Oryctolagus cuniculus: one gene and its partners. The protein of the gene in region 1 binds, or shares a complex with, the protein of each later gene. Links are inferred from orthologs where the notes say so. Each region holds a gene or a part of one and is shown on either strand. Other genes may lie near its edges. The genes, in order: KL, FGFR4, FGF23, FGFR1 and FGFR3.

Region 1 (5,229 bases):
CACTTCTCAGGATTTTGATATATAATGTATGAAAAGCACAGAGGAAGTGCTTGTAACTGCAGACACACACCGTGGAGCTGGCATAGCAAAGGCCTCACTTTGATTAGTCCATTGGGGAGTGGGCCTGGGAAGGATGCTGCCACAGAAGGCAATGCATGAGGAGAAGACCTCAAAGGAGCACACAGCAGGGGCCGCCAATCCCTCCCCACCCCCGCCCACCCCCCCCCACCCCCCCACCCCCCCAGAGCTTCCAGAGGAGTTCACATCCCCAGGGGTCTGAGAGCTGGAGGGACAGAGCTGAGGAGGTAAAAGGACAGCGCGACCTGAGGGTGGGGCTCTGGGCTGCTGAGGGGCTGCCCTGTGATCAGGCTCTAAACCCACTGCCTCTAGGGCATGAGACACAAAGCATTCCCCGCCCCCCTGCATCACCCTGCCTAGCCAATCAGACATTTCACTTCCCACCAGTCTCTCTCCTTCCTCAAGAAAATAGGACACACCCACGTGGTGGAATGAGAAGGTGAAAAGGTCATGCAAAGATGGCCGCTGAGGTGCAAAGTTCATGCCAAGATGGCCGCTGACAACAGAAACTGCCTGGCAATAGGCTGTGATTGGATGGCTTCAGAAACCACATGGCAACAGAGCCTGACTGGCAATAGGCTGTGATTGGATGGCTTTGGAAACTGCCTGGCAACAGGCTGTGATTGGTTAGGGCATAGACCGCCCCTTGACTGGATTGGCTGCCTTGGCTATATAAGCAGCTGTAGCAACTGAAATAAACGAGTCTGCGGGCTGCTGGCCTCAGGCCTGCTTTCACCCGACTCCTGGGGTCTGTGAGGTGACTCTGCGCCTCTTGAGCCCACCCTGCTCCTCTTCTCAGAACGAATCCTCTCAGAAGAAATCTACCGCAACACACCCAGAACACTTTCTCACTGATTTCCAGTTCCCAATGCAACCACACAGCCCTTGGGTGGGGAGCAGAGTGGAGCAAAATGTATCTCTCCAGCCCCCAAACTTCCCTGGGTCCCTAGGGTCTACACCGAGGAGTGGGCCACGAGACACTCACACACTAGATGAACTGGGAGCTACTTGCAGGCTCAGGCTGCTGTCACAGGATTGGATAGGGGCAGTGACAGGGCCTGGTGCCCAGCAGGGAGCCCGCAGAAAGTCAAGCGCTAGAACAGGGACAGGGGCCCTCTAATCTACCCCGAGCCCCAGTGTTAGGGTTTGACTATAATTTGGCCTCTGAACTCATGCAGGACTTAAACTCCCAAATCATAAGTTAACGGCACTAGCAGGGTGGAAACTGAGTCCATTCTGGCATCTAGGATGCGGAGCTAAAGAGAGGGCCTTAGGTCACTGGGGACATGCCCTCCAATGGTAGCTCTCAGAGGAGGGTTGTTGTAAAAGCCTGAGTTTGAGACCAGCTGACTCTCTGCTTTCCCATTAATCCTGTGGTCATGCATTGCACACGTTCCACCGACACCATCGGCCACTCTCATGAGAAGCTGAACCAATGGAACTGGCCAATCCTGGACTCGCACCTCCAAAACTTCCAGCTGAAAACAGCTTTTCTCTTTTAAAGTTAATGGCCTCAGGCCTTTTACTACAGCAATGAAAAGCTGACTCCTACAGCTAACAAAGGGGAGGAGGAAGGGAGGATTGCAGGGGGCATGTCTTCTCCTCCTCCTTGTCTCCTTCTCTCCTGCTCCTCACCAGTCCCACTTCTGTCACCTCCAATGCACTTGAACTGGAGACCCCCCTCTGGAAAGGGAAATTAGGAGAGGGTGGTTCCAAATAGTCCTGGATCGAGGGAGGACAGAGAGGGAGCAGGCAGGAAACTCTCACACCGGGCAAAACGGACCTAAGACTTTATATTGGGCTCAGAAATCTCTGCAAACCCATTTCCCACTGTCCTTTACATTGAAGTCCAGGACTGACTCTAAAACAAACTACATGATCTGAAAAAGTCACAAGCATAATCCAGACCCACACGAAATTATTAAGAGTAGTGTGGATTTATGTCCTTACAAATAAAAGATTGCAACTTGATATTTACCACTAGAAAAGAGCAACCCACTTCAACTAGAAAACCTTTCTTGAGGTCCAAGCATTCCTCCAAGTAACTTCTTCTGAAGCTGTGCTTTATAGGAACAGTGAGTTGGCTAGAAAAACTCAACATGCTAAGTCTCACTGCTTAACTATGGATGCTGAATTTATCTCTGTTTTGATTATTGTTTTTACACCCAAACTATATTCAGTAGCTCTTCCCCCAACACCACCACCCTGCTCACTTACCATCATGCTCTGTTCACTCCATTATACTCATTGTGTCTCCATCATTTACTGTCAACGGGTTCCTTTGCACCTTTTAAAGCAAGGGGTATCTTATTCATCTCAATGTGTTCCCCACGGGCACTCCACTTAACCAGGTGAGCCCAGAAACACACAACAGGGCTTCGTACACATGAGGCATACTTACTAAAGTATTCAGTTGGGTTAGGCCACTGCTTGGGATGCCCTCGGGATGCCCTCATCCCAAATTGAAGTGCTCTTTCTAATCCCAGTTACTCCAACTCTGATTCACCTTCTTGCTAATGCACCAGGGCAGGCAGCAGATGTTGGCCTCAAGTACCTGGGCCCCTGCCACCCATGTTGGAAACTCAGATGGAGTTGCTGGCTCTTGGCTCCTGGCGGCAGCCTGGCCAAGATCCAGCTGTTCCAGGCATTTGAAGGAAGAGCCAATAGATGGAATATCATTCCTCCCACCCCTCTGTCTCTCCCTCTCTGTCACTCTGCTTTCAAATCCATAATAAAATCTTTTTAAGAACATATGCAGTAAACTGGAAAACAAGTCCCTTTAAAATTAGGTAAATTAAAAAGAATATGGAGGGCCAATTACATAGTAAATATTCCGTAAATACTAGTTGATCATTTGGAAAGACTCCCATATCATTCCAATGACCATGATTGTAAAGGACATTGTTATCAGTGAAACACTGAAGCAAAGAGTTTCTTTCTCAGGTATTTCTGCAAGCCACATGGTTATACCTCAAGAAGAAGGCCATCTGTTCCTGCTTCAAAAATATCAGTGGCTCCCTCAATTCTCCAGTATTTTGACTTTGGAAGAGTATATCTTGTTTATGGACAAACCCAACTGCTTTAAAAGGGGTTGAAAACCGCAGAACAAAAATGTATTTTATTATCTTTACCTGCCTTAGAATATCTTACACATTAACGTTTCAGGTTTATTTCCATTTGAATCTAATTTAAAGTGCAAGATGACGTCTGGAAGATTTTTAGAAAAAGGGCTGCTGCATTCCAATTTGTGCACTGAGTATGCTTTTGAGGAAACTGTGTTTGGCTAAAGAACTGACAATGTGCCATGTGAAGAGCCTAATAAGGAAACACTACTTACTAGTGATAGGGCTTGGTGAGACTGAAGATTGGTTTTGTCAGCTGACTTACTTGAATGTAGTTGTCAACAACTCCCCAAGCAAAGTCACAGGGAAAGGTCCCTTCTAGGGGTTGATTTTCAGGTAAAGGAGGGAAGCCATTTTTCTCTATCAGCTTTTGGTAGAACAAGGCTGAAGACTTCGGCAGCAACTTCTTATCCTGACTCAGAAAGTCAACATAGAAGAGTCCCCGTCTGATGTTGTATCCTCGGTGCCACTCAAAACCATCCATGAGGGACCACGCTGTGTACCCGATGACATCCACCCCATCCAGCCTGATGGCTGCAAAGGGAAGAGGAGACAGGAGCAACATGACCTTCACTGATCACTCGCCGGGGACTTTATTACTTAAAGACAAAAATTAAGTTTAATTCTTCTTGTTTCAGAAGCCAACGATTTTTCTTATTGACAAAAGATTCTAGTCCTATCTAGGTAATTCCACAAATAAATGTCTCACAAATAGAGCATTCCCAAATCTGAGACAGTTCCTTATTTCCAATGGGTGCTCTACAGGGCTAGGGAGAGGTCTTGTTCCACTGTGTACCCTAGCATTGTGCCTGATGCAGTAAAGGAAGAAAGTCATTAAAATAATGAACTATTATTTTCTCTATGAAATGTGGATTATGCTTTTTCTTTTAATAATGCCTTTTTTGGACAAAACACTGTATTTAGAGCAAAACTGATACACACAGCATTTCTTTTCTTTTTTGAATGTTAGTGATATTTGTCTTTCTGTGTCCACCTTATTTCACTCAATATGATGCCTTCCAGTTCCAACCATATTCCTACAAATTGTAGAATTTCATTCTTTTCTATAGCTGAATGATATTGCATTATTATATAAAATATATATCATATTCTCTTTATCCATTTATTTGATGGCAGACACCTTCGTTAATTCCATATTTTGGCTGTTGTGAATACTGCTGCTATAAACATGGTAGAGCGTGTATCTCTTTAATACAATTAATCCATGCTTTGGGGGTTAATGCATGCTTTTATTTGAGCAAAACAATAACTCAAAAACATGTAGGGAGAGCTACATAGCCTGGGATTTGTTGTATGCTTTAGTCTAAGGATCTGGATTAACAACTCTGAAAATACGCAATTTCTAACATTATAATCCAGTTTTTCAACTACAAAATTAGTTTTAAGTGTTAATTTACATTCCTCAGAAACCCTGAATATGTAAGGTGTTACCTAAATACATTCCTACTGTTGCCAAAATCTACATTATGATTAAAAATATAAATCCACATACTTTATTATAGATAACCCTACATTATTTTTCCAGTGGATTTTGGCAGGAAATGATAATTTTACCTGAATCCTACCTTTTAATGTTTCCATTATGAACTTTTTGAGGTAGTACATGTATTTGGCATCATCTCTCTTGGTGGTCCCTGAGACAAACCAGCCATTTTCCACAATAAATATCTGAGGATGGTTATATTCCAGGGCAATCCAGGAAAGCAGTTGCCTCAGGCTGGGAGATTCTAACTGGCGGAACTTCATTTGAGGATCCAACAATTGGAAGCTCAAGGTTGGTCCAAAGGAAAGAGCAAAGAAGTCAGCTGTTCCCTTGATGAACTTTTTCTCGGCTTCAGTAAAATCAGGCAGAAGAGACGAAAGGTTATTCTTCATGCTCTCAGGATAGTCTCCATCGATAAATATGGGTCTAGCGAACCAGCCTAGTACAAAGTCAAGAGATTTTTGACATTCTTTGATGTTGTGGTCGGTCCTTCTTCGAGGAATGATCCAGTGGGAGCCTAGAGCA
Region 2 (5,913 bases), on another chromosome or scaffold:
TTGGCCGCAGCATGGGTCTCTGCAGGTGAGGCCGACCAGAGCACACCGAGAGTGGAGCTATCTGGGAGGCACCTGCGTGTACCCTGCACTTAACACGGCGGCCAGGTCCGTGGGCACAGCTCCTGCCTCCCCAGAGGGAACACTTCACAATCATTTACATTCCTGATGGTTCAGCTACAATACTGGCAAATATGAAGAAATCCCAGATCAAAAAGTGATCATAATGGTGCAGCAGGTAAAGCTGCCATCTGCGGTGCTGGCATCCCATATGGGCACCAGTTCGAGTCCCGGCTGCTCCACTTCCAATCCAGCTCTCTGCTATGGCCTGGGAAAGCAGTGGAAGATGGCCCAAGTCCTTGGGCCCCTGCACCCACGTGGGAGACCCGGAAGAAGCTCCTGGCTCCTGGCTTCAGATCGGTGCAGCTCTGGCCATTGCGGCCATCTGGGGAGTAAACCAGCGGGTGGGAGACCTCTCTCTCTCTGTAATGCTGTCTTTCAAATAAATAAAATAATTCTTTAAAAAAATAAGAAGTAATCACAGCTAGCATTGCAAAGCAAATGCTGGATGATGGCTTTGCACACACCCACAGGTCTGCTTCTTGCAACAACCTCTTGAGGTTGATGCTATCAGCTACCACTTTCCTGCCAACAGGATGAAGACAGGGATGGAGGGACCCGCCAAGGCTGTGTGCGACAGTGCTGAGAGGTGAGGGCACACAGCCCAGTGCTGCAAGCTGTGCTCTGAATCACTCAGGAAAAGGCAGCTCTGCAGCACCCGGTGAGCTCAGTGCTCCCAGAAGAAGCAAGAGGAGCAGGACCTGAGAAGGAGACAGACTTCACCAGACCAAGACGGGACAGCGCGTTCCAGGAAGAGGGAAATCACATGCAAAGGCCCAGGGGCAGGGTGGGAGCAAGATAAAAGGGCATGAAGGTTCAATCTGGAGATGTGGGCAGGGGCCAGGTTATGCTAAAAACCTATATATAATTTTGTGAGAAGCTACTGGAAAATTAAAGGGGAAGATAAAACAGTCAGATTTGTATTTAAAATATAACTCAGGTGGGACTGACGTTATGGCATAGCAGGTAAAGCAGTCACCTGAGATGTCAGCATCCCATATGGGCGCTGGTTTGAATCTTGGCTGCTCCACTTCCCAGCCAGCTCCCTGATCATAGCAGTGGAAGATGGCCCAAGTGTTTGGACCCCTGCACCCACATGGGAGACCTGGAAGAAGCTCCTGGCTCCTGAGTTTGGTCTGGCCCAGCCTGGCCATTGTGACCATTTGGGGAGTGAACCAGGGGATGGAAGACCTTTCTCTCTCTCTCCCTGTAATTCTGTCTCTTCAATAAATAAATAAATAAATATACTTTTAAAAACCATAAACTACATTGCCACATTGCCAAAAAGAGAGATTTCTTTTCTTTTCCCCCTCCCCTCCCCTCTCCTCCTCCTCCCTCTTCTCCTCTCCTCCCTTCCAGATCTCTCAGGCTGGGGCAGCCCATAGCAGAGAGCTGGATCGGAAGTGGGGCAGCTGAGACTCAAACCGGCACCCACATGGGCTGCTTGCACCGCAGGCAGCAGTATTACCTGCTATGCCACAGCGCTGGCCCCCTAAATAAATCTTTTAAAAAATCACTCTGGACTTGGAGTTGAGGCTCCATGGCTTAAGCCACCGCTTACATCCACCAGCATCCCAAATCAGAGCACTGGTTCAAGTCCAGCTGCTCTGTTTCCAATCCAGCTCCCTGCAAATGCTCCTGGGAAGGCAGGTGGAAGATGGCCCAGCCTCTGCCACCCTCGTGGGAGATGCCGATGGACTTCCAGGCTCCTGGCTTCCTGGCTCTGCCATTTGGGGAGTGAACCAGCAGATGGACGACCTCTGATTCTCCTTCTCTCGTCACTCTGCCTTTCAAATAAATAAATAAATATTTTCTAGAAAGAACTGTCACTGTGCAGGTTGCCAAATGAGCGGACGTGGGGCAGTCAGTCCACTGCACAGAGATGGCGGAGCAAGGCTAGGGTCAATGTTTCCTTCCCCGAGGGGTGACGAGCAGGAGACACGGCTGGGCAGTGGACGAGAACTTGGAAGCCCCGCCAGGGGTCTGGGTGGGCCGGAGGAGGTGGCTTGTAGTAGCCAGGCTGGCCCTGGCCGGCTGGCGGTGATGCTGGGTCGCCGCTTTGGGACCTAGGTGGGCGTGGCTGCGGAGCCCTGCCACGCCCCTGAGAGGTACTACCGGCCGGGGGCGGGGCCGGGGCGGGGCTGGGCAGCTGCCCGCGGCCACGCCGCTGTAGCGAGTTTATTCCTGGCTCTCCCGCCGCGGGCGGAGCAGCGCCGGGGCTATCTGCAGGCCCCGCCGGGCGCGGGGATCGGGTGAGCAGGGAGCGAGGCGCGGGGGAACCAGGTGAGCAGGACCCTGGTGCGGGCAGCGGAGCCACGCAGGTTCGAGGTGAGCCAGGACCCGTGCGGGCCCGGACTTCACCCCCTGCCGCCAGGGGGCGAGCGACGGCGGGGTCCAGGGGTTGCCCCCTCCCGGCACGGGGGCGTCCTCTCGGCGCGGGGGTGGAAGGGCGGTAAATCAGTAACCCACAGCGCACACAGGGCCTTTTGTCCCGCTCCGTCCAAAGAGCACCGTGGCCACGGAGCTGGTTACTCATTGCCCACCCGGGCGGGGGCGGGTGCAGCTCCCGGGGGAGGGGGACCCTTCGGCTCGCACCTCCCCCCGAAGGTGGCCGGGCGGGTGGGGAGAGCGCTCTTGTCCTTGGGCGGCAGAGCAGGGGAGGCCGACGCCCGGAGAGGTGCAGCGCTGGCCCAGGGCCCTCCGGCGCGGGAGTGCGGAGGCTGGATAACCCGGGACCGTCTGATGCTGGAGTCGGGAGCTCTGGTCCCACGCGCCGGGCGGGTGGCCAGCCGCCGCGGTGACCCGGCCAAGGTTTGAGGTTGGGAGGTCAGGGCAGCCTGGGGTCCCAGGCGTCCCCACCCCACTGCCCGCGGAGCTGTGCCCCGAGGCAGAGGGGGCGCTTTGCGGAGCCCTGGGGTGGGCTGGGCTCAGTCACAGAAAGAGCTGAGCGGGATGGAGAAGAGGGATGAAGGGCACGGAGGCGCCGGGTTTTGAAAGGCGGTGGGTTCCGTGCTCGTGAAGGGAGATTGGCCAGGGCAGAGAGGGGGCCTGGGAGACACACGAGCCGCGGGGACTGCTTCCTGCAGGGTGCAGGGAGCCTTTAACCGACGGAGGGGGCACTTGACAGACGTGTGTTTCCCAAAGCCCTTGCAGAGGCTGAGAACAGAGGAGGTTTGCAAAGGCCCAAGCAGACACCACCGTGGCCTGCCCCGGGGAGGGACAGGAAATACAGAGAGGGCTGGGAGGGGGGGACCCGGCTGCAGAGAGATGTGGTGGGCTTCCAGGAAGGCGCATCTGCAGACACCACTGACACCTGGCTGGCACCCAGCCCCAGGGAATAGCCAGTGGCTGCCTGGGACCACAGCCTGTCCCCTTGCTTGGTTCTGAGTGTTCCTTTGGGGGGACAGAGACGTGCTCAGTAGCACTGGGAAGAAAGTGACCAAATGAGATGGGTGTGCACCTCGTACCTGACAGGACCAGAGCTGACCGGCTGAGGGCAGACCAGGGTGACAGGTGACAAGAGGGGCGGGGAGGACATGCCAGTATGCCACGTGCCTAGTCCCCACATATATCACCGCTTTTATCTCAAAACAGCCTGGAGCGGGACAGCCCAGGACTTGCAAGCTGGTGGGAGCCGAGACTTGAACTTGGTGCTGACACTTTAGAGTCTACAGAAACTCCTGTGTGGGGTTGCGGGGCTTCCGAATGAGGCCCTCTCCCTGCTCCACGTGGGGAGTGCTGCCTTGTTGGTGCAAGCACCCAGTTGCTAGGCATGGGTGCCAGGAATACCCTAGGGGTAGGGGTCAGCCCCAACAACATGCAGCTGCTGACGTTTGGCCTGCTATCACATTTCACTTTTTTTTTTTTTTTGGCTCTTCAGCAATAAATTTCTTTATTCAGCAAAAAGTAAATTATGTGTGCTGAGAGCGAACAGCAGATATTTCTCCATTCTCTGCCTCGCTCCAAGGAAAGAATCCCCAAACTGCTCTTTCTGTGAACTTGTGCCAGGGTCTCAGCAGGACCCAGGCAGAGCAGGAAGCCGAGCCCAGCTCCCCCTGCACCAGCAACCAGGGGGAGGCCCTGGGCTCCGGCAGCGGCAGCAGCAACAGAGCTGGTTCCAGTCTCTGCCTTGCCACAGCCGGGCTAGGGGCTTGGACCAACCTGCCTCAGTTTCTTCATCTGCAAAATAGGGCAATAGCGCTGGCCCAGACGCACGTGTGGCAGCTGCTCTTTTTGCCCCCTGTTCCAGGAGTTCCAGCCTGAGTCCTGGGAGCTGCAGGAAGATGTGGGTGCTACTGGCCCTGCTGGGGGTCCTGCTGGGGGCACCTGGGGCTCCAGCCTTGTCCCTTGAGGCTTCTGAGGAAGTGGAGCTGGGTATGGCCCCAAAGGTGGGAGAGGGTCGCAGGGGTGGGAAGCGTGAACCTGGGAGGGGGCTGCTGGCTGAGCAGAGCCGGAGAGGGTCCCAGCCCAAGCCCTGAGAAGGCGGTGGCAGGGCAGGCCTCAGCCTCTGAGACTCTGTGTCTGGCTCCCAGCAAGCGGCCACTATCTATCACTGCGCTCCAGAGGACGGGCCTTGCAGGGCGCTGGGCCCTCAGCTGGGCTGCAGAGCCGGGGGTGAGCGCTTGGCTGCGTGGGTGTGTGTGTGTGTGTGTGTGTGTGTTCTGTGCATCAGTGTGTAGCTTGGCGGCCCAGGCAGCACGTGTGGCACGTATAGCATGTGCCTTTGAGTGTCTGTGTATGTGTGTGTACGTGTGTCCCGAGTGTAGCATGTCCAGCATGCGTGCCAAGTACTTGTGTGCGTGTGGCCCACCTCGGCGCTGTGGCGTGGGCCCACAGCTGCGTGCGGAGGAGTGGCATGTCCAGCACGTGTCCTTGGGTGCCCGGGCCCCACGTGGGCAGCATGTTCTTCATACGCAAGGGGGCCGCCTCCCATCGGAGTGGCGGGGCTCACTGCGTTCTGTGCTCGGCCCACAGAACCCTGCCCAGCCCCCAGCCTGGAACAGCCCGAGCAGGAACTGACCGTGGCCCTTGGGCAGCCCGTGCGGCTGTGCTGCAGGCGGGCTGAGCGGGGCGGCCACTGGTACAAGGAGGGCAGTCGCTTAGCACCTGCCGGCCGGGTGCGGGGCTGGAGGGGCCGCCTGGAGATTGCCAGCTTCCTGCCCGAGGATGCCGGCCGCTACCTCTGCCTGGCTCGAGGCTCCATGACGGTCCTGCACAATCTCACCTTGGCTGTGGATGGTAAGAGGGGCTGGCGGGGGCGGCTGAGGTCCCCGGGGAGAGAGACTCCCTCTCTTGGTCCTCAGATGCTTGCTCTGTCCCTGACACAGACTCCTCGGTCTCCAGTGACGATCCTGAGGACCCCAAGGCCCACAGGGGCTCCCCGAACAGGCACAGTTACCCTCAGCAAGGTCGGTGTGAGGCTTCCAGGACTCGTGTCCACATCGCCCCATCTGGTCACTGAAACGAGGGGTGGGGGGCACTCAGTACGCCCACCTCCTCCCCCCCCAGCTCCATACTGGACACACCCCCAGCGCATGGAGAAGAAACTGCATGCAGTGCCTGCCGGGAACACCATCAAGTTCCGCTGCCCAGCCGCAGGCAACCCCATGCCCACCATCCGCTGGCTCAAGGACGGACAGGCCTTCCATGGGGAGAACCGCATTGGAGGGATTCGGGTGAGGCTGTGGAGTCCCAGACCATCTGCTCCCAGACTTCATTTCCCCCCGGGCCCCTGGCACCTGTGAATCTAATGTGGAAGGCAACTGGGAAGCACCAGGCTTCAGACTGGGGCGATCC
Region 3 (5,229 bases), about 24 Mb from region 1:
TGACGGCTCAAGTCATTGGGTCCCGGCCACCCACACAGGAGACCCCAAATGAGCTCTCAGCTCCTGGCTAAGGGCTACTGAAGGCATTTGGTGAGGGAACCAATGGATGGTAACACTTGTGTGTGCTCTCTCTCTTAAATATAAGTAAGTAAGTAAATAAATAAATGTAGATCCACTCTGGCTACATAATATTGTAGGAACTGGGACTTAGCAGGTACCCAAACAGAAAATCCCCATTTTGCGCCGTCTCTCTGAGTATGCCTGGTGGTAAAGAGAATCCTGAAATAAGCAGTTCCACTGTTTCACTATCTCAAAATCCACTGGGACGTGCCAGCCGGCTTTACTTTGAGGAACCTCTTGCTTGCCAATCTGAATGACCAGCGATCAGACTTGTGACAGAGGTGCTCCCTAATCATGTGGGCCACTCCACCACATTTTTTTTTCTGAGTGAAAAAGCTGAAGTTTGGGAAAGTGAGGGGACTGGTTAAGGTAGCAGCTTGCAACAGGTCCAAGCAGACACCATTAGCTTCTTGCCCGTTCTAATGTGCTTTATGGCATGCTTTCACATATCTCTAAGACCTACAACTATACACAGGGGTCTGTGCTAGATACAAGAATGGGCACCCATGGGCAGTGCAGACAAGGGACCGAGTGGCTGGGTTCTGGGGCCAGACAGACTGCGGTTCAAACCCCAGTTGTATAAATGTGAACATTTCAGATCAGACAAAAAAGTGTTCGCTGAGAACAGATGAGCAAGGCACCCGCAAAAGGAAGCTTCAAGCCAGAAAAGTCCATGTTTTCTGTTTTCCCGAAATAGATAACTATTGGAAAATGCAGATCCATAACCGCTGCCTCCCCGCACACACACACACACACACACACACACACTCACACACACTCACCGATCCAAAAATGTTGCCTCTGAAATCCATACAGAGGTACCTCCTGCTCATGACACCTGTTATCACCACGAAGCCAGCATCCTCCGATCTGATCATCAGGGCACCTATGGAGAGGAGCGTCCTGGTCAGAGACTGTTTGCACCTCCAATTCCCACCTTCAGGTACTTGCACCCTCACAAAACCTTCCTGTGTTGGTGTCAAAGATTGATGATGGCGTCACTCAATGCTCTCTCTCCACTTCTCTCTCTGTCTCAATCTCACACACACCCACTCACTGCCACACCCACCTCCTGCTGTGTGGGGCACTCTGAACTCACAGCATTCTCTCACCTGTGCTGTACACCTGTTTCTCTCTCTGCACCTGTACCCTCTCTGTCTCCCCTGTTGCCTGGCTAATGCCTCTTCCTGTCAGTGGTAGTGGTCATGTTCTTCCAAGCCTTCTGCGTTTGTAATTTTAAGGCTGTGCTGAGATCTCTGTCAAGGGTGCAGCCTGGAGGTAGAGTCCGGTTCTCCACCCAGCCAGCGGTGTAATAGTCTAATGCGTTCCACAGCACTCATCACGTGTCCAGAACTGTATTTGAGTAAGTCTCTCTCTCCCTTCTCTGCTAATGTTAAGCAGGAGCCCTACCCATTGGGCTCTAACTAGTCAATACCTAGTCTTTAGCTCCTTGGCAGTGAGCTACAGGGGAGCAGAGGCCTTATCTTTCCACGTTGAATGGCTATCAAGGCTGGATGGAACATTTTTCTTGGGTCTTCCTGACTGTCCTTGGTCCTTTCTCATGTGGTAGTTCCCATTCCATGGGCAACCCCTTGTGGTCTTTCAGTGTCTCCTCTCAAAGGCTGGTCTCCAGCCAGGGCCCGAAACCCATTCATGCTTCCTACACCATACATAATTGACAGTAGCTTTAAGTCTGACCCCTTCGCCCTCTGCCTCCGTGGAGACTGGTTCCAAGCTCAAAGGTCACAGCCATGTCAGGGCAAAGATTACCTGTACTGAGTCTAGGGGCATAGCGGCTGCCTGGGAAACCCACGAAGCTGCCAAATGCTGTCCATCTGAATCCCAGTAGGGGGTTGGTGGTGTGGCTTAGCAGGTTAAGCCTCCACCTGGGAAGCCAACATCACATATGGATGCTGGTTCGTGTTCTGGCTACTCTTTTTTTTTTTTTTTAAAGATTTATTTATTTGCTTGAAAGGCAGAGTTACAGAGAGGCAGAGGCAGAGGCAGAGGCAGAGAGAGAGAGAGAGAGAGAGAGAGAGAGAGAGAGAGGTCTTCCATCCATTGGTTCACTCCCCAGATGGCCACAATGGCCAGAGCTACGCCAATACGAAGCCAGGAGCTTCTTCCAGGTCTCCTACATGGGTGCAGGGGCCCAAACACTGGGGCCATTTTCTACTGCTTTCCCAGGCTATAGCAGAGAGCTGGATCAGAAGTGGAGCTACCGGGACTTGAACCAGCATCATATACCATAACAGCAGCCCTGTTCCTCTTCTGATCCAGCTCTCTGCTTATGGCCTGGGAAAGCACTGCTTAGGCCCCTACACCTGCATGGGAGACTGGTAAGAAGCTCCTGACTCCTGGCTTTGGCCTGTCCCAACCCCAGCTGTTGCGGCCAACTGGAGAGTGAACCAGCAGATGGAAGATCTCTCTTTTCTCTGTCTCTTCCTCTCTCTTTGTAACTATGACTTTCAAATAAATAAATTTAAAAAACAAACAAACAAATATTCCTTAGCTGTTCTCTACCCTTTCTTTCTATGGGAGTCAGAATAATGTGTCATCATCTATTCTCATGCATTTTAAATCACATGTAGCCTTTTTATGATTTATTTATTTGTTTGAAAGGCAGAGTTATGGGGGAAGGGAAGAGAGAGAAAGAGAGAGAGAGATCTTCCATCCACTAATTCACTCCCCAAATGGCTGCAACATCCAGATCTGGGCCGGACTGAAGCCAGGAGCCTGGAACTCCTTCTGGGTCTCCCACATGGGTGGCAGGGGTCCAAGCACTTGAGCTATCATCTGCTGGCTTTCCAGGTGCATTGGTAGGGAGCTGGATCAGAAGTGGAACAGCCAGGACTAGAACTGGAACTCATGTGATGCCAGCATTGCAGGCAGTGGCTAAACCCATTGCACCACAACGCTGGGCTCAGATCACAGACAGCTTTGCAGAGGAGGCCGAGGTGGCTTCCCCTGAGAGGTGCAAACCTGTGTTGCCTAGAAGTTCGAGAAGGCACTGGCAGGCAGAAGGGATGGCAGACTGGAGGCTGTTGAAGAGCTCTGTCTTCCCTCTCTGTATCATTCCAGACATATCGTGGGTCCTACTAAATACCCACTGACTACCAGGAGCAGGACTGTGGTCACATCAAGTAGATCCAGATTTAGTTCAAATATATGCTGTTAGATCAAACTCAGCTTCAAGAATAGTGACTCTGAATACTGCTATATCTCCTTTGCTTCTGGAACCTGCTTGGAATTTGGAGAGAACTCCCCATCCCTTCACTGCCTGTCAGTACCCAGTGAGCCTTTGAGGTTTCCAAGGTTGACTCTGTGTGTGCATGCATTATGCTACCAGGCTTAAAAAGCATTGATTCCTAGCAGAACAAATGCTTTGCACACAGCAGGGTCACAGCAAGATAATTCCTTACTCTAGTCCAACAATAAAAGAGAACCCATAATTCCTATGAGAAGTTTTTCAGTTAGAGATCAGGATTATTCCTTCATTCCTTTGACCTGAACTATTTTGAGTCAATTTTCATTTTTCTGTGTCCTCAGAGTAATTTAACATGTCCTCCTAAAACAGAAGACCCGTCAAGACACACATGCCCTCTACTCCATTCTCCCTTTTACAGTGAAGGAGCTCTCCTTTGGGTCATTGCTAACTGATGGACTGCTGTGGACTGTGATCCAGCATCCCACAAACCTAGTCTTTGGAAACTTTGCAGTGTTCTCATGTGTCCAGTGAGTTCCCAGTTAGCTCAACTTGACACTGCTAGGACAGATGTGAGCTCCCCAGAGAATAGTCACCAGCTCACCCTGGACTCCTGCAGAACATGAGTAACCCTGTTGGGCGAATGGATGCATGGATAGATGAGGACATGGAAGGAAGTGCTCTCGGTCGGACTCACCGAGATACAACACCTGGGCACTCTGCCTTCCATCTGTTCTTCCGAAGAACAATTATGAGGTCAGAATATTAGAAGCTAGGAGTTGGAAGCAGCTTCTTGATGTGATAAGCAATCTTCTTTATAATCTCCCTATTTAGCAAGTCCAAAAAAGCATCCTGTGTTCATCTATCTATCTTCTCTTCTTCCTAGACTCCTTGCATTTCTTTTCCATACTTTTTTTTTTTTTGACTCCTTGGCCAAGGCAAAGGGAAAGTGGGCTCTCATTGTGGGAAGAGGGGTTTTAGCTAAGACAAAGTATTCATGTTGAGAGAAATCAGTAAGTACTGATTAGGGAGAGAGCAGACTCTTCTCCTAAGGATAACACACACACACACACACACACACACACACACACACACCATGAAACGGTTCCTGGGCAACACATTCGGTGGCTGGATTAGCACTCTGGTCTAACCCAAGCCCTCTCCCAACTCTCCATAGTGGACAACAGGGGAGGTCCCCGTTCTTCCCAGCCAGAAGCCCCTACTCACTGTAGATGGTCTGATGAGGTGTGCCATCCACTTGGCCGTCCTTGTGGATCTGCAGGTGGTAGCTGTTTCTGGCGGTGGCCGTGTACAGGTGGGTCAGGCCAGCCCAGCTGGAGCTGAGCAGTGGGGAGGTGTCAGGGTAGGCTCGGACCACACACCAGCTGCACACACTGCCCAGGGCACAGACCAAGAGCCGGAGGAGCCGGGCCCCTAACATCGCGCCTCTCTCTCCGAATGGCAGATGCTGAGATTGAAACCTGAGACTCCCCTCTGGGCTGAGTCTTGCAAGTAGCAGAGAGGGACGTGAGGAGCCTCGGCTGCATTCCCTCCTTTTGCCCCCTAGACTTTTAAAGGGTAGCAGTGTGACATCAAACAGGAAAAACCCCAGCGTCCACATCCTCTGTGTTGTAATCAGCCCATTCAGAGAAACTGGAGTGACTCCTGAGGGTCACGGAAGGCACGTTGGCTACACACACACACACACACACACACACACAGTTTCAAGCCAGCACTCTAAAAAGTGAATGATGTGTGGGCAAAAGTTATCTGTGACTCTGGCTGTCTGTTGACCTGCCCCACTTCCACCAGGAAATGTGAAGGCAGCCAGCGGTTCCGAAAACATCCAGCCGCAGTTGTGCAGTCTGCGGATGGACGCTTTCCATCTCCCACTTCGTCTCCCA
Region 4 (5,229 bases), on another chromosome or scaffold:
ATCCGCTTAACGCTGCTGCAGCTGCTTCCTAACTTTGCCTCTTTTCTTCCTTTGACTTTTGGAGGAGCGGGGTGGGGGAGAGGAGCCAGGGGTCCCAGGCCGCCAGCTGTCTTCCCACTGACCCGTATTCCCAGCCCCAACGCCAGTTCGAGGAAGTGAGGCCCGGTGGTGGCCAGCGTAACTCCCCCTTTGTCTCTCCCTCCTCCCTCGCCCGCCACTGCCTCCTCTGCCCGTCCCTGGGGTGGCTGCAGCCCAGCCCTGGGGAGCCCCTGTGGAAGTGGAGTCCTTGCTGGTCCACCCGGGTGACCTGCTGCAGCTTCGCTGTCGGCTGCGGGACGATGTGCAGAGCATCAACTGGCTGCGGGACGGGGTGCAGCTGGCAGAAAGCAACCGCACGCGCATCACGGGCGAGGAGGTGGAGGTGCGGGACTCCGTGCCCGCCGACTCCGGCCTCTACGCATGCGTGACCAGCAGCCCCTCGGGCAGCGACACCACCTACTTCTCCGTCAACGTCTCAGGTTGGTAGCAAAGCCCCGCCCTCACGCTCTCCCCGCACCTACCCCCTCCGGCCCACTGTTTCCGAGGGAGCGAGCCTCTGCCCCACGCTCTGCTTCCGATCCGCTGCCCACTAACATTGCTCCCTGCCCGCCGCGTGGCTTGGCTCTCAGAGGGATGGTCAGGTGGAGCAGGCCTCAGCCAGAGATGCCCTCGGGGCGTTAAGGCCCTGCGGTTTTGCCACCACAGCGTGGCCCAGAGCTCCATCCTGCCACTGTCAGTCGGTCCGGTGGGTCTTGGTACTCTAACAGAGGAGTTAGAGCCCCAGACATTGTGGCGGAGGTCCCTGCTGTGATGATGGGGAGAATCCGGCGGGGCTGCACCGCCTCGCCTGCCCGCCCGCAGGCTCTCCAGGAAGCAAGCGCCTGGCCTCTAGCTTTGGAGCCATGAGGGCAGCCAGGGAACCCCAGAGCTCTGTGACTTTGGGAATCTGCCAGTTTTGGAAAGCGACTGTGATTGCAGGAAGTGAGCTGAAATGTTCTAGAAGCTATTTGTGCAGCCCAGGGAGGCGGGCCAGGTGTGCAGCCCGTAAGCCTCCCCTTAGGTGTCACTTTGAACATGCCCCCATCTTCCCTCTCCCCCACCCTGAAAGTGCGGGGCAGGCTTGGGAAAAGACCTGCCTTGAACCCTGATTGGTGACCACGTGTTTGTGGAGCCTGTTCTGACAAGGGGTGGATGCTTGGTGGGCAGAGGTGTCGGCAGCTGCAGGCCGGGTGCTGGGGGCGGTGCCCAAGCCTGAGCAGGTGACACACAGGAAAAATTCGGACTGCAGGTGTCGGGACCCTGACTTTGAAACTAATTGCTGCTCTTTTTATTTAAAAACATTTGTTTATATGAAAAGCAGAGTTACAGAGAGAGAGTTAGAGACAGGCCAGAAACTCCATCCAGGTCTCCCACGTGGGTGGTAGGGGCCCAGCCCAGGCACTCAGTCCCTCTGCTGCTGCTCTTCCAGACGCATTAGCAGGGTCCTGAGTGAGAAGTGGAGCAGTCGGGACTTGAACCTGCGCTCATATGGGCTGCCAGCATCACAGGTGGCAGCTTAACCAGCTGCGCCGTGTCCGTCCCTGCAGCTAGCGTCTAGCTCCACTGTGTCTCCATCAGCCTGTGTGGCCCAGTGATTGGCAGCACAAAGAAGGACACAGGTTTCCCAGGTTGTGGTTCTGAGACCCGGGGTACTGTGAGTTAAGGGGGGAAGGGTGGAGTCCAACAAAAGAGGACCCCACTGGGGAGAGAAGGGCCAGGCACAGGAGCAGGCAGTTCTGGAACGCCGAGGGAGAGTGGCCGTGGGAATCCATATGGGAGGGCAGTCAGTGTTGGTCCGTATCGGTAGCAGTCTCAGTGGGGTGACCGCTGATAGGCATGGAGATCCAGAGCTGTGTCAGAGGGGACCTCAGTGCGCTGCTTCTTCCCGTAGATGCGCTCCCCTCGTCGGAGGACGACGACGACGATGATGACTCCTCTTCGGAGGAGAAAGAGACAGATAACACCAAACCAAACCGTATGCGTGAGACACTGTTTCCTATCTTACGGGCCTGGGAGTTTCGTTGGAGAGGGAAGGGAAAGGCTTGGCTGAAACTGGAGGAGGAGGAGGAGGAGGAGGAGGAGGAGGAGGAAGGAGGGGCACGTGGGGTCCTGGTGCCTGACTGCAGCCCCTGGAGTGTCCCTTGATGCTGGATGGTGGCAAACAGGTGCTGGGCAGATGGGCGAGGCAGCTCCCGCTCCTGCCTGGGCCCTTGCTCGGAACCTGACCAGCCCCCTCGTTTCTTGGCTCTCCCCGGGCAGCCGTAGCGCCGTACTGGACATCCCCTGAAAAGATGGAAAAGAAACTGCACGCCGTACCGGCTGCCAAGACCGTGAAGTTCAAGTGCCCTTCCAGCGGGACACCGAACCCCACGCTGCGCTGGCTGAAAAATGGCAAAGAGTTCAAACCTGACCACAGGATTGGAGGCTACAAGGTTAGTACACATAGATATGAAGGGAGAGGAGGAGGGATGGGACAAGGGAGTTAGAAAATCCTCCCTCAGCCGGCGCCGTGGCTCAATAGGCTAATCCTCCACCTTGCGGCGCCGGCACACCGGGTTCTAGTCCCGGTTGGGGCGCCGGATTCTGTCCCGGTTGCCCCTCTTCCAGGCCAGCTCTCTGCTATGGCCAGGGAGTGCAGTGGAGGATGGCCCAGGTGCTTGGGCCCTGCACCCCATGGGAGACCAGGAAAAAGCACCTGGCTCCTGGCTCCTGCCAGGATCAGCGCGGTGCGCCGGCTGCAGCGGCGGCCATTGGAGGGTGAACCAGCGGCAAAAGGAAGACCTTTCTCTCTCTGTCTCTCTCTCTCACTGTCCACTCTGCCTGTCAAAAAAAAAAAAAAAAAAAAAAGAAAATCCTCCCTCATATGCCTCTGTTTTAAATAGTAGTGCTTTCTAACTAATGCATTTAAAAAGTTTTTAAACACATAGGGCTGGTGTTGTGGTGCAGCCAGTTAAGTTGCCACTCGTGATGCCAGCATTCCATATGAGAACACCTGTTCGAGTCCCAGCTGCTCCACTTCCAATTCAGTTCCCTGCTAATGTGCCTGGGAAAGCAGTGAATGATGGCACCCATATCAGAGTGCCAAGTGCTAAGCACTTGGGCCATCTTCTACTGCTTTCCCAGGCCATGGCCGAGAGCTCGATCAGAAGTGGAGCAGCCGGGACTCGAACCGGTGCCCATATGGGATTCTGGCACTGCAGGCAGTGGCTTTACCTGCTATGCTGGTAAAGCACCGGCCCCGGGCCAAACTCTTAACAGGAGCCAGGCACAGAGGCACAGGGTTGAGAATATTCCTGGTATAATTTGGGAGAGTTTGCAGAAGACAGCTTGGTTAGACCATGGCTGGCCTTGAGCACCACGGGGAAGACTTCTAAGGCTCACGCTCATCTGCCAGTTTAATGGACGTGCTCGTTTGAGTGGACCTGGGCTGAGCACCACGTACTCTGTTCCTCCTCCCAGCTACTCTGCAGTTCTGATGGGGGAGCTGAGAGAGGCAGTCCCACAGGCACCAACACGGCCCCATGGCCTCTGCCTGCATTTTCCTCCAGACCCTCAGTGGAGCCCTTTGCCTGTTCCCCACAGGTCCGCTATGCCACCTGGAGCATCATCATGGACTCCGTGGTTCCCTCCGATAAGGGCAACTACACTTGCATTGTGGAGAACGAGTACGGCAGCATCAACCACACCTACCAACTGGACGTCGTGGGTAAGAGGTGGTGGCGCAGACCTAAGGTGCTTAGGGTATGGAGCGGGCATCAGGGACTCCCGGGATGGCGTCAGGATTGCACTTGCCTTGTCACCTTGAGCGGGTCAGCTCCTCCGTTTGCACTTTACTTTTCCCTATCTGCAAACCAAAGAGCATTAGGTGAGAATGTGTCCCAAAGCCAATGTCGCCATGAACTGGAAAGCACTGTTGACAGTCTACCCTGAAAGACGTGACTGGTTGTTGGGCTGTTACAGGGAGTGCAGTGGTAGCTGTGGCTTGATGAAGGCTCTTGCAAATCTGCTGTCATCCCCACCAGGCAGGCACGCGCCCACTGTACCTGCTGAGGCTCAGAGGTCAGGTGCCTGTGGAATTCCAGGCCCCTGCCGGCTGCTGGATGAGCACCATGCTTCTCAGGGCTGCTCCTGCAGCCGGTCCTAGAGCAGGGGTGGGAACGTCCAGCCCGCAGGCTGTACGAGGCCCACAAAATCACCTTGTCTGGCCCTGCCAGGGCAATCCCAGACGGGACTTTGAAATTCAGTACATGTATAGCAGGCTGATTGTTAAGTTGGATCATTTTATATGGTCCACGAACGACGTTATAAATATCCAAGTGGCCCTTGGCAGAAACAGAGGCTTCCCATCCCCGTTCTGGAGGTAGAGTCCAGCACGCTGGAGATGGAGAGGCCCAGGGACTCTCCGCCAGCCTCCCATCTTGGTGCTGGCCACGTGGTCTCAGCAGGGGGATGGGGTCCAGGCTCTGAGATCCTGCCTTTCTGACTCTCTCTCTCCCAGTTGGCACTGGTGCTGCTGTCCCTGGGCCACACTTTGAACAGCAGTGGTCTCGGCAGCTCTCTGGGAAGCACGTTGTGCTGGGATCTCAGGGTGTTAAGTCCTTTAAGCTACAGGAGACTTATTACTGTGCATAAGTATGGAGCGTGGCCTCGAGGAGGAGTTCCCATGGAGCCTCGAGAGAGGACTCAGGGTGGAGGCACTGGGACCCCGCGGAGATGCAGGACATGCACTGCCCCATCCCCGGGAAAGCCGAGGGGGCACTGCAGGCCCACACGTGTCCTTTCTTCCACAGAGCGGTCGCCTCACCGGCCCATCCTGCAGGCAGGGCTGCCTGCCAACAAGACGGTGGCCCTGGGCAGCAATGTGGAGTTCATGTGTAAGGTGTACAGTGACCCTCAGCCTCACATCCAGTGGCTAAAGCACATCGAGGTCAACGGGAGTAAGATCGGCCCAGACAATCTGCCCTACGTCCAGATCTTGAAGGTAATCACCCTGTCTGCTCGGGATGGGGTGCCAGGACAGAGCCCGCCAGCTCCTGGCGGCTCAGGTTCTGTGGTCAGGCTCAGGGCCTGGGATCGGGACCCAGCCCCTTTCCCAGGAGTGGGGAGAGATGACAGAGTAGAGGTGAGCTGGGAATAGGGGGGCGGTGCTGG
Region 5 (6,003 bases), on another chromosome or scaffold:
ACAGTAACCAGGGTTGAGCCGGGCTGAAGCCAGGACCCAGAGCTTCTTCCAGGTCTCCCCGTGGGTGCGGGGCCCGAGCGCCTGGGCCATCCTCCACTGCCTTCCCAGGCGCATTAGCACTGGAGCAGTCGGGACTTGAAAAGGCGCCCATGTGGGATGCTGGTGGCGGTGGTGGCGGCTTTGCCGCTACGCCACAGCGCCAGTCCCGGCGGCTAACTCAGGTGGCATCACCGGCATGGAGAACGCACGACACAGACCGAGGCATGGGTGGGGGTGAGGCAGAGCCTCGAGGGAGTGCCCAGGAGCGCCGGGAAAGGCAGGGCGTCGGCTGACCGCGTTGACTAGGAAGCAACGATCTGAACAAGACGGAGTCGCCTGGGTGGGCTTTGGCACAGGGGTCAACGGCCGGCCGGTGTGGCACGTTTGTAGCGGGTTCGAGTCTGGGCCCTGCTCCCAATTCCAGCTTCCGGCTGCAGCGCCTCCCAGGAAGCAGCAGCAACGGCTCAAGTGGTTGGGCCCCCGCCACCCACAGGGGCGACCTGATGGGGCTCCCGGCTCCCAGCTGCGGCCTGGCCCAGCCCCCACTGTTGCGGGCATTTGAGTGGAGCCGTGCACGGGACAGATCTCTGCTCTCAAATAGAATAAGGACGCCTTCAAGTAACGGCCTCCCCGCGAGGTGGGGACGGGGGCAGCTTCAGGTGAGCTGCCGGCAGTGAGCGGTGCCGCGAGCGAAGCCACGGGGAGCAGTCACATCAGGGCGTGGACAGCGCCACCGTGGCACCGTGGCACGTGCGGGAACGCACACCTGAGCCGGAACCACATTTGCAAGCATGAGGCAATCCGGCTAGGCAAGCCCTAGGTTCAGTGAGGCAGAGACACAGAGGCAGACGTGGGCCACACGGGGCCCCCGGAGCCCCCGGAGCTGGGCCAGGAAGTCCCTAGCCCCCTCTGCAGAGAGTGGGAGGGAGCCTGGCCTGCCCACGCCTGGGCTGAGGCGGGGGGAAGGTGGGCCCTGGGCGACGCGGGTTGGGACGCGCCCTGGGCGCACCCCAGGCTGGTCCCGAGCAGGAGAGTGGCAGAGGAGAGCGGGATGGGGAGTCTCCGGCTCCCCTCGAGGCTGGACAGTGAGGGGACCCGGATGTGTGGTCTGTGGGGGCAGGCTTGGGGGACACGTGGGGACAGGGATGGGGCAGCAGGCACACAGGGCAGCGGGCACAGCCCCAGGCTGCCCAAGAGGGCATCTCTCCTGAGGAGGGGCTCCTGACGGGCACGAAGCAGCATGTGCCCGGTGCACAAAGACCGCTGACCTGCTAGGCAGAGGGGGCTGGCCCTTCCCGGGCACCGGGGAGGGGCTGTGGGCACCCAGCTGGCCGGTCCTCCCCGCCCCCGCCCAGCTGCCACCAGCCCGACCCACCAACTCCTTCCCTCAAAGCAGGAAGGACGCGGCCTGCTGCCGAGGGGCCCAGAGCACCCGGGCCCCCCTCGTCCTGGCGCAGGACGGACTAAGCGACTGGCTGCAGCCTGGTATGGGGGTCCCAGCTCCTCCTGATGTGCACCCGGGGGCAGCAGAGGACGGCTCCAACCACGTGAGTCCCTGCCACCCACACGGGAGACTGGCCTGGCGCTCCCGGCTCCGTCCCGGCCCAGCCCTGGCTGTTGTGGGCATTCGGGGAGTGCGCAGTGGACGGAAGGTCTCCATCTCTCCCTGCTCACTGTCTGCCTTTCAAATAAATGAATCTCAGAAAAACCCAAAAACCCAGATGAGTGCAGACGGCGCTGAGAGGCGCTGAGTGGCAGCGGCCTGCGGCTGCGCACTGCAGAGGCCTGGCCAGCTCACCTAGGGGCCAGTGGGCCTGTGTCCCCAGGCTGCAAGGACGCGGACTTGGCCTGAGCAGCCCACGAGGGAGGCCCAGGGCGGAGGTGCTGAGCTGCCCACTGAGCAGAGGGTGGCCTCCCCGCCAGCCCCCGCCCCCCCAGCACCTGCGCGCGCACCGAGGCCTGGGGGAACACAGAGCCGGTTTGTGGCCCACTCTCCTGGTGATCCGGCCAGCACCTGCGGCCCTCCAGCTCCGCAGGCCCTCGACCTCTCTGGGCTGGCCTGTCGCATGGGGGTCTGAAGGCAGGGCCTGGTGCTGCGCGCCCAGCCTTGCCTTCCCGGCCCAAATCTCCCAGAACCTCGCCCGGCTGTGCTCTGCCACCAGCTCACCACCGGCCGTTCCGAGGCCTGGCAAGCACCAACCTTCCGCCCCCTCCCTGCGGCCGCGCGGGACGGACACCCCCCCCCCCCCGCACAGGCGCAGCCTCCACGCGCAGCGAGGCTCGGACCGGAGGCGCCCTGCTCTCCGCCGCCGGAGGTCGGCCGGTCCCCCGCCGCGGGGTTCTGCTGCCACGGCTCCCCCGCGAAGCCTCCCGGGCCTCCGGTCCCCTGAGCCCACGCCCCCGAGCCCTCCCGCACAATCCCGCGGCCCCGAGCTGCCCCAGCCCCGCACGGACAGGCTGCGCCGGGCCTCCCGCGCGACCGCCCTGCCCGGGCTCCCACGCCCTCGGGGACCGGGGGCCGCCCCCGCCGGCCACGCCTCCTCGCCCGGGACCGCCCCGCAGCGCGCGGCGCGGGCGTGGCCTGGGCGGGGCGGGGGCGGGCCGGGCGCGGGCCGTCCCCCCTCGGCCGCCGCGCGCCGGGCAGCCCCTGCTCAGAGCTCGGCGGCGGCGGCGGCGGCGGCGGCGCGGGCAGCTGGCGCCGCGCGGTCCCGTTCGGGCGCACGGACGCACCGGCGGCGGCAGGGGCGGGCTGCGAGCCGGGGCCGTGGGAGCCGCGCGTGGCGAGCCGGGTTCCAGAGGCGCCAGGTGGGTGCGCGGGGCCGGGCGGGCTCTGGGAGGGGTCGCGGGGGCGACCCCCGGAGGGGCCGGGGCGCGCGGCGGGCGCGGGTCCCGAGCGGCCGCTGTGGCAGCTTCCCGCCCTGGGAAGTTTGCCGCCGCCGCCGCCCTGGGAGGGAAGGGGGAGGGAGGGAGGGACCGCGGCGGAGAGGAGGCGGCCGGCGCCAGGCGGCCCGGGAGCCCTGGGCGGCGGCGGCGGCGGCGGCGGCGGCGGCGGGCGGGGCGGCCGGGGGCCGGGGGCCGGAGGGCTCGGGGCTCAGGACCCTGGCCGCGGCCGCCGCTGCCGCGCGCCCCGGGGCCGGTGACGAGGTGCCGCCCTCCTCCTCCTCCCGCAGACTCCGGCGTGCGCCTTCCTCCCTCTCGGGCCCCGGCCGGGCCGTGGGGGGCAGCATGCCCGCGCGCGCCGCCTGAGGACGCCGGCTCGGTCCCCGCCATGGGCGCCCCGGCCCGCGCGCTGGCACTCTGCGTGGCCGTGGTGGTCGTGGCCGGCGTCGTCTGGGAGCCTGCGGGTCCGGAGCGGCGTGTGGTGCGGAGAGCCGCAGGTGAGGACGGAAGGACCCCCACCCCACCCCACCCCCACCCCGCCCCGGGGACTCGGGAGGGCCGGGGTCCGGGCTGGAAGAGGAGTCGGTCGGCAGCGGGCAGCCGGCTCCGAGGTGGGGAGGGGTCGCCGGTGCCGGGCTCTGCTGCCCTCTCTCTGGAGACCGCGGCTCGTGGGAGCCCCCGCCCGGGGCGCGGCTGCCGCCCTAGAAGCCGTCGGTTTGCGCGACCCCATCGTCCCTCGGGTTTTTTGCTGACGGAAAGTTCCTGCTGCCGGTGCCCCCAACCCCCCGCCCTGGCCCCGGTTCCCGGCCAGCCTGGGCCAGCGCGAGACTGGACTTTGGAGGTGGGAGCGACTGCGTGGCGAGGTGACACCTCCCTCCCGGGGTGGGCGCCGCGACTGCGAGGGTGCCGGTCAAAGTCCAGCGGGGCGTCCGGGTGCCGGGAGGAGCGCGCGCCCCGCCGCAGCCCCCAGGTGCCCGGGCGCAGGACGCGGGCGGCGCGGAGCCGGGCTGAGCGCCCGGGCGTCCTTGCTCCGGCGCCGGGCGGGCAGCCGCCCCCCGCCCCCGTGGACCCTCGGCTCGCGCGAGGACCAAGGGTGCGCTCCCCGGCCCCGTGGAGGGCCGCTTTCCCCGCGAGCCTGCGGCCCGGACGGCCGCCGCTTTGTACGTCGCGAGGTGCGCGCGGGGCGGCCGCGGGCGCGCGGCACCGAGGCAGATGGCGGCCCCCGCCCCGAGCCCCCGTCGCCGCGGCGGCTGCAGCCGCGCGAACAATGTCATTTTTTTATGAATGAGAGTGGTCCGGCGCTTGAATGCGCGTGTCATTCACGGCGTGACAGAGGCCGGCGCGAGGTCAGCGCGCGCTTTGAGCGCCTGCTCCGACGGCCCGGCTGCCGGGGGCGCCGAGGGGGCGGCCGCGGGGGCGCATTAGCATTCGCATTCAGATGAAGATATTACTCCCGGCCGACCGGCCGGCCGGGGAGGCGCCTGGGAGGCCCGCCTGGAGGGGGGGCCCCGCCCCCGCACACCCCGGCTGGAGGAACAGGTAGTGAGTTGATGGGACCATAAACTTAATCCGGCTCCTTAACGAGATGGGCCGGGCAGTAAAACACTAAGACCGCGTGAAGGGCAGGGCCAGGGCGCTTTCTCCGGAGCCTGCCTGCTGGGGTCAAGGGCGCCACTGCCCACGCCAGCCCCGTCTCCACGGGGCTGTGTCCTCCGCCGTGGGGGCCTGGCAGTGGCTCTCGGGTGCTGGGAGGCTGGGTCCCCGGGAGCCAGGGGGGTCCCTGGCGGGGTGGGGTGGGTGCGGACCTCCCTCCAGAAGGCAGCTGCAGCCTCCCCACCCCCTCCTGGCAGGGCTGGACTTTGAGCCCAGCAGGCCTCCTGGTGGTTCATTAACCTGGCCTGATCGGCTGGCCTCTGCGCCCAGGAGCCCCTCGGCACCGCCTCCCCCGGCCTCGGGTCAGCGGCCGGAGCGGGGCTGGGGCTGGGGTCAGGGCCCTCCCAAGGGGTCCTGCCGGCCGCTGCCCTGCTGGGCTCGGTTTCCTCACCTGTGTGGGAGGACGGATAATGGCGGGGTTGTTGGGGGATTAGGCCGGATAATCCCGATAAGCTCTCATTAGCTCGCCCGGCCCCCAGCCCCTTTCCCTCTTCTGACTTGTTCAGGAGCTCTGTGGAATGTGTCTGGGTGGAGACTGAGGTGGGCAGGTGAGCCTCAGGACCCCTTAGACGCTGCTGACCCCACCCCTGGACCCACCTGGTGAGGGGGTGTGGCTCTGCTGCTACCCCTGCCCTGTGACCCCTGCACGCTGGGGGCCTCGACTCCTGGCCTGGCTGTGACCTGACCCACGTCAGGGCGTGCTTGGACTGCAGGTGGGAGTCCCCACCTTGTGCTGCAGTTGGGGAAACTGAGGCACAGTCAGGGAGCTCTGTGGGCTCTCCAGGTTGCAGGGCCCTCTGTGGGGCACAGGTGGCACCCTGGGGCTTGACACTGGGGCTGCAGGAGGAGCAGGAGTGGCGGGACCTGCTGACTCTGGGCCCCAGTGCCCGGGTGAGTGGACAAGAGAGAGCCTTCCCCGGGCCGCCTGGCTGGCCTCCCCTGGGTGAGGAGGCGGAGATGAGACCCCAGGGTCCCTGGCCCCTGAGACACCTGGCGGGCAGGGTGGGTGAACAGGTCGGGGCCTCGCTCCTCTCCAGCCGGCACGGGTGGGGGTCCTGGGCGTGGCTGGCCCGGGGCCGCTCTGATTCCTTCTCTGGACCAGGTTGAAGGGAATCCTTGTGTGGACTGCGTGACCTGTCGTGGTGCTCCAGACCAAACCGGAATCAGCCGGCTGTTGCCCTTGGGCCGGGGCCTGGCCTCAGCCTTCTGGGGGGCCTCAGGCAGCTCCTGGTGCTGGGTGGTCCCCGCAGGACACTGTGGCAGGAGCCTCCCCCGGCCACAGGGCCCCCTCGAGGTCTGGCCCTGAGCTGCGGGTCCCTGTGGGATGGGAGCTCCTGTAGAGAGTGCACAGGATGGCAGTGAGCCCTCCTCGCTGGAGGATCCTGACGGAGGCTGGGGCGTGTGGGGGGCGCGTGGAGGGACGGGCCGAAT

Evidence for each region.
Region 2: the proteins of KL (region 1) and FGFR4 are in contact, whole or in part, in a cryo-EM structure (PDB 7YSW), measured with the Homo sapiens proteins. The link is inferred for Oryctolagus cuniculus from reciprocal best matches to the Homo sapiens genes KL and FGFR4. Residues at the interface, in NP_004786.2 of Homo sapiens: Ser539, Gln540, Phe541, Thr542, Asp543, Asn545, Val546, Tyr547, Leu548, Trp549, Asp550, Val551, His553, Ser554, Lys555, Arg556, Leu557, Ile558, Val563, Thr565, Arg568, Tyr571, Val573, Ala576, Gln579, Pro580, Glu625, Arg628; in NP_001341913.1 of Homo sapiens: Asp266, Gln282, Leu284, His286, Ile287, Ile289, Gly295, Ala296, Asp297, Gly298, Phe299, Pro300, Tyr301, Val302, Gln303, Val304, Leu305, Lys306, Asn311, Ser312, Glu314, Leu318, Tyr319, Leu320, Arg321, Asn322, Asp327, Thr332, Leu334, Leu341.
Region 3: the proteins of KL (region 1) and FGF23 are in contact, whole or in part, in a cryo-EM structure (PDB 7YSH), measured with the Homo sapiens proteins. The link is inferred for Oryctolagus cuniculus from reciprocal best matches to the Homo sapiens genes KL and FGF23. Residues at the interface, in NP_004786.2 of Homo sapiens: Phe377, Lys385, Leu389, Glu390, Pro392, Trp417, Phe418, Ser420, Lys429, Tyr432, Tyr433, Lys436, Phe437, Arg468, Ser471, Ile472, Arg556, Arg693, Asn694, Met695, Thr696, Tyr697, Ile735, Val752, Phe755, Asp756, Asn782, Asn783, Leu785, Ile812; in NP_065689.1 of Homo sapiens: Leu39, Met74, Ala80, Val88, Arg91, Leu166, Ile167, Phe169, Asn170, Ile173, Arg175, His177, Asp184, Ser185, Glu186, Arg187, Asp188, Pro189, Leu190, Asn191, Val192, Leu193, Lys194, Pro195, Arg196, Ala197, Arg198, Met199, Thr200, Pro201.
Region 4: the proteins of KL (region 1) and FGFR1 are in contact, whole or in part, in a cryo-EM structure (PDB 7YSH), measured with the Homo sapiens proteins. The link is inferred for Oryctolagus cuniculus from reciprocal best matches to the Homo sapiens genes KL and FGFR1. Residues at the interface, in NP_004786.2 of Homo sapiens: Ser539, Gln540, Phe541, Asp543, Leu544, Asn545, Val546, Tyr547, Leu548, Trp549, Asp550, Val551, Lys555, Arg556, Leu557, Val560, Val563, Thr565, Lys566, Arg568, Tyr571, Val573, Ala576, Glu625, Arg628; in NP_075598.2 of Homo sapiens: Asn272, Gln288, Leu290, His292, Ile293, Asn296, Gly301, Pro302, Leu305, Pro306, Tyr307, Val308, Gln309, Ile310, Leu311, Lys312, Glu322, Leu326, His327, Leu328, Arg329, Asn330, Glu334, Asp335, Thr340, Leu342, Leu349, His351.
Region 5: the proteins of KL (region 1) and FGFR3 are in contact, whole or in part, in a cryo-EM structure (PDB 7YSU), measured with the Homo sapiens proteins. The link is inferred for Oryctolagus cuniculus from reciprocal best matches to the Homo sapiens genes KL and FGFR3. Residues at the interface, in NP_004786.2 of Homo sapiens: Ser539, Gln540, Phe541, Thr542, Asp543, Asn545, Val546, Tyr547, Leu548, Trp549, Asp550, Val551, Ser554, Lys555, Arg556, Leu557, Val563, Lys566, Arg568, Tyr571, Val573, Ala576, Pro580; in NP_000133.1 of Homo sapiens: Gln286, Leu288, His290, Val291, Val293, Gly299, Thr303, Pro304, Tyr305, Val306, Thr307, Val308, Leu309, Lys310, Glu320, Leu324, Ser325, Leu326, His327, Asn328, Val329, Glu332, Asp333, Thr338, Leu340, Phe347, His349.

What each region holds. Positions count from the first base shown.
Region 1 is NC_091440.1:81,191,701-81,196,929, forward strand, and holds part of KL (klotho), read right to left. Parts: coding exon 4,787-5,229; intron 3,735-4,786; coding exon 3,466-3,734; intron 1-3,465. UniProt on the Homo sapiens protein: May have weak glycosidase activity towards glucuronylated steroids. However, it lacks essential active site Glu residues at positions 239 and 872, suggesting it may be inactive as a glycosidase in vivo.
Region 2 is NC_091437.1:63,110,566-63,116,478, forward strand, and holds the start of FGFR4 (fibroblast growth factor receptor 4), read left to right. Parts: upstream 1-2,264; 5' UTR 2,265-2,400; exon of another isoform or gene 2,401-2,445; intron 2,446-2,766; exon of another isoform or gene 2,767-2,935; intron 2,936-4,366; 5' UTR 4,367-4,400; coding exon 4,401-4,491; exon of another isoform or gene 4,492-4,505; intron 4,506-5,091; coding exon 5,092-5,355; intron 5,356-5,444; coding exon 5,445-5,525; intron 5,526-5,625; coding exon 5,626-5,792; intron 5,793-5,913. UniProt on the Homo sapiens protein: Tyrosine-protein kinase that acts as a cell-surface receptor for fibroblast growth factors and plays a role in the regulation of cell proliferation, differentiation and migration, and in regulation of lipid metabolism, bile acid biosynthesis, glucose uptake, vitamin D metabolism and phosphate homeostasis.
Region 3 is NC_091440.1:105,066,010-105,071,238, reverse strand, and holds part of FGF23 (fibroblast growth factor 23), read right to left. Parts: 5' UTR 4,947-5,229; coding exon 4,553-4,946; intron 1,007-4,552; coding exon 903-1,006; intron 1-902. UniProt on the Homo sapiens protein: Regulator of phosphate homeostasis. Inhibits renal tubular phosphate transport by reducing SLC34A1 levels. Up-regulates EGR1 expression in the presence of KL. Acts directly on the parathyroid to decrease PTH secretion. Regulator of vitamin-D metabolism.
Region 4 is NC_091433.1:88,162,991-88,168,219, reverse strand, and holds part of FGFR1 (fibroblast growth factor receptor 1), read left to right. Parts: intron 1-251; coding exon 252-518; intron 519-1,969; coding exon 1,970-2,059; intron 2,060-2,337; coding exon 2,338-2,510; intron 2,511-3,660; coding exon 3,661-3,784; intron 3,785-4,868; coding exon 4,869-5,059; intron 5,060-5,229. UniProt on the Homo sapiens protein: Tyrosine-protein kinase that acts as a cell-surface receptor for fibroblast growth factors and plays an essential role in the regulation of embryonic development, cell proliferation, differentiation and migration.
Region 5 is NC_091433.1:654,583-660,585, forward strand, and holds the start of FGFR3 (fibroblast growth factor receptor 3), read left to right. Parts: upstream 1-2,685; 5' UTR 2,686-2,844; intron 2,845-3,209; 5' UTR 3,210-3,307; coding exon 3,308-3,416; intron 3,417-6,003.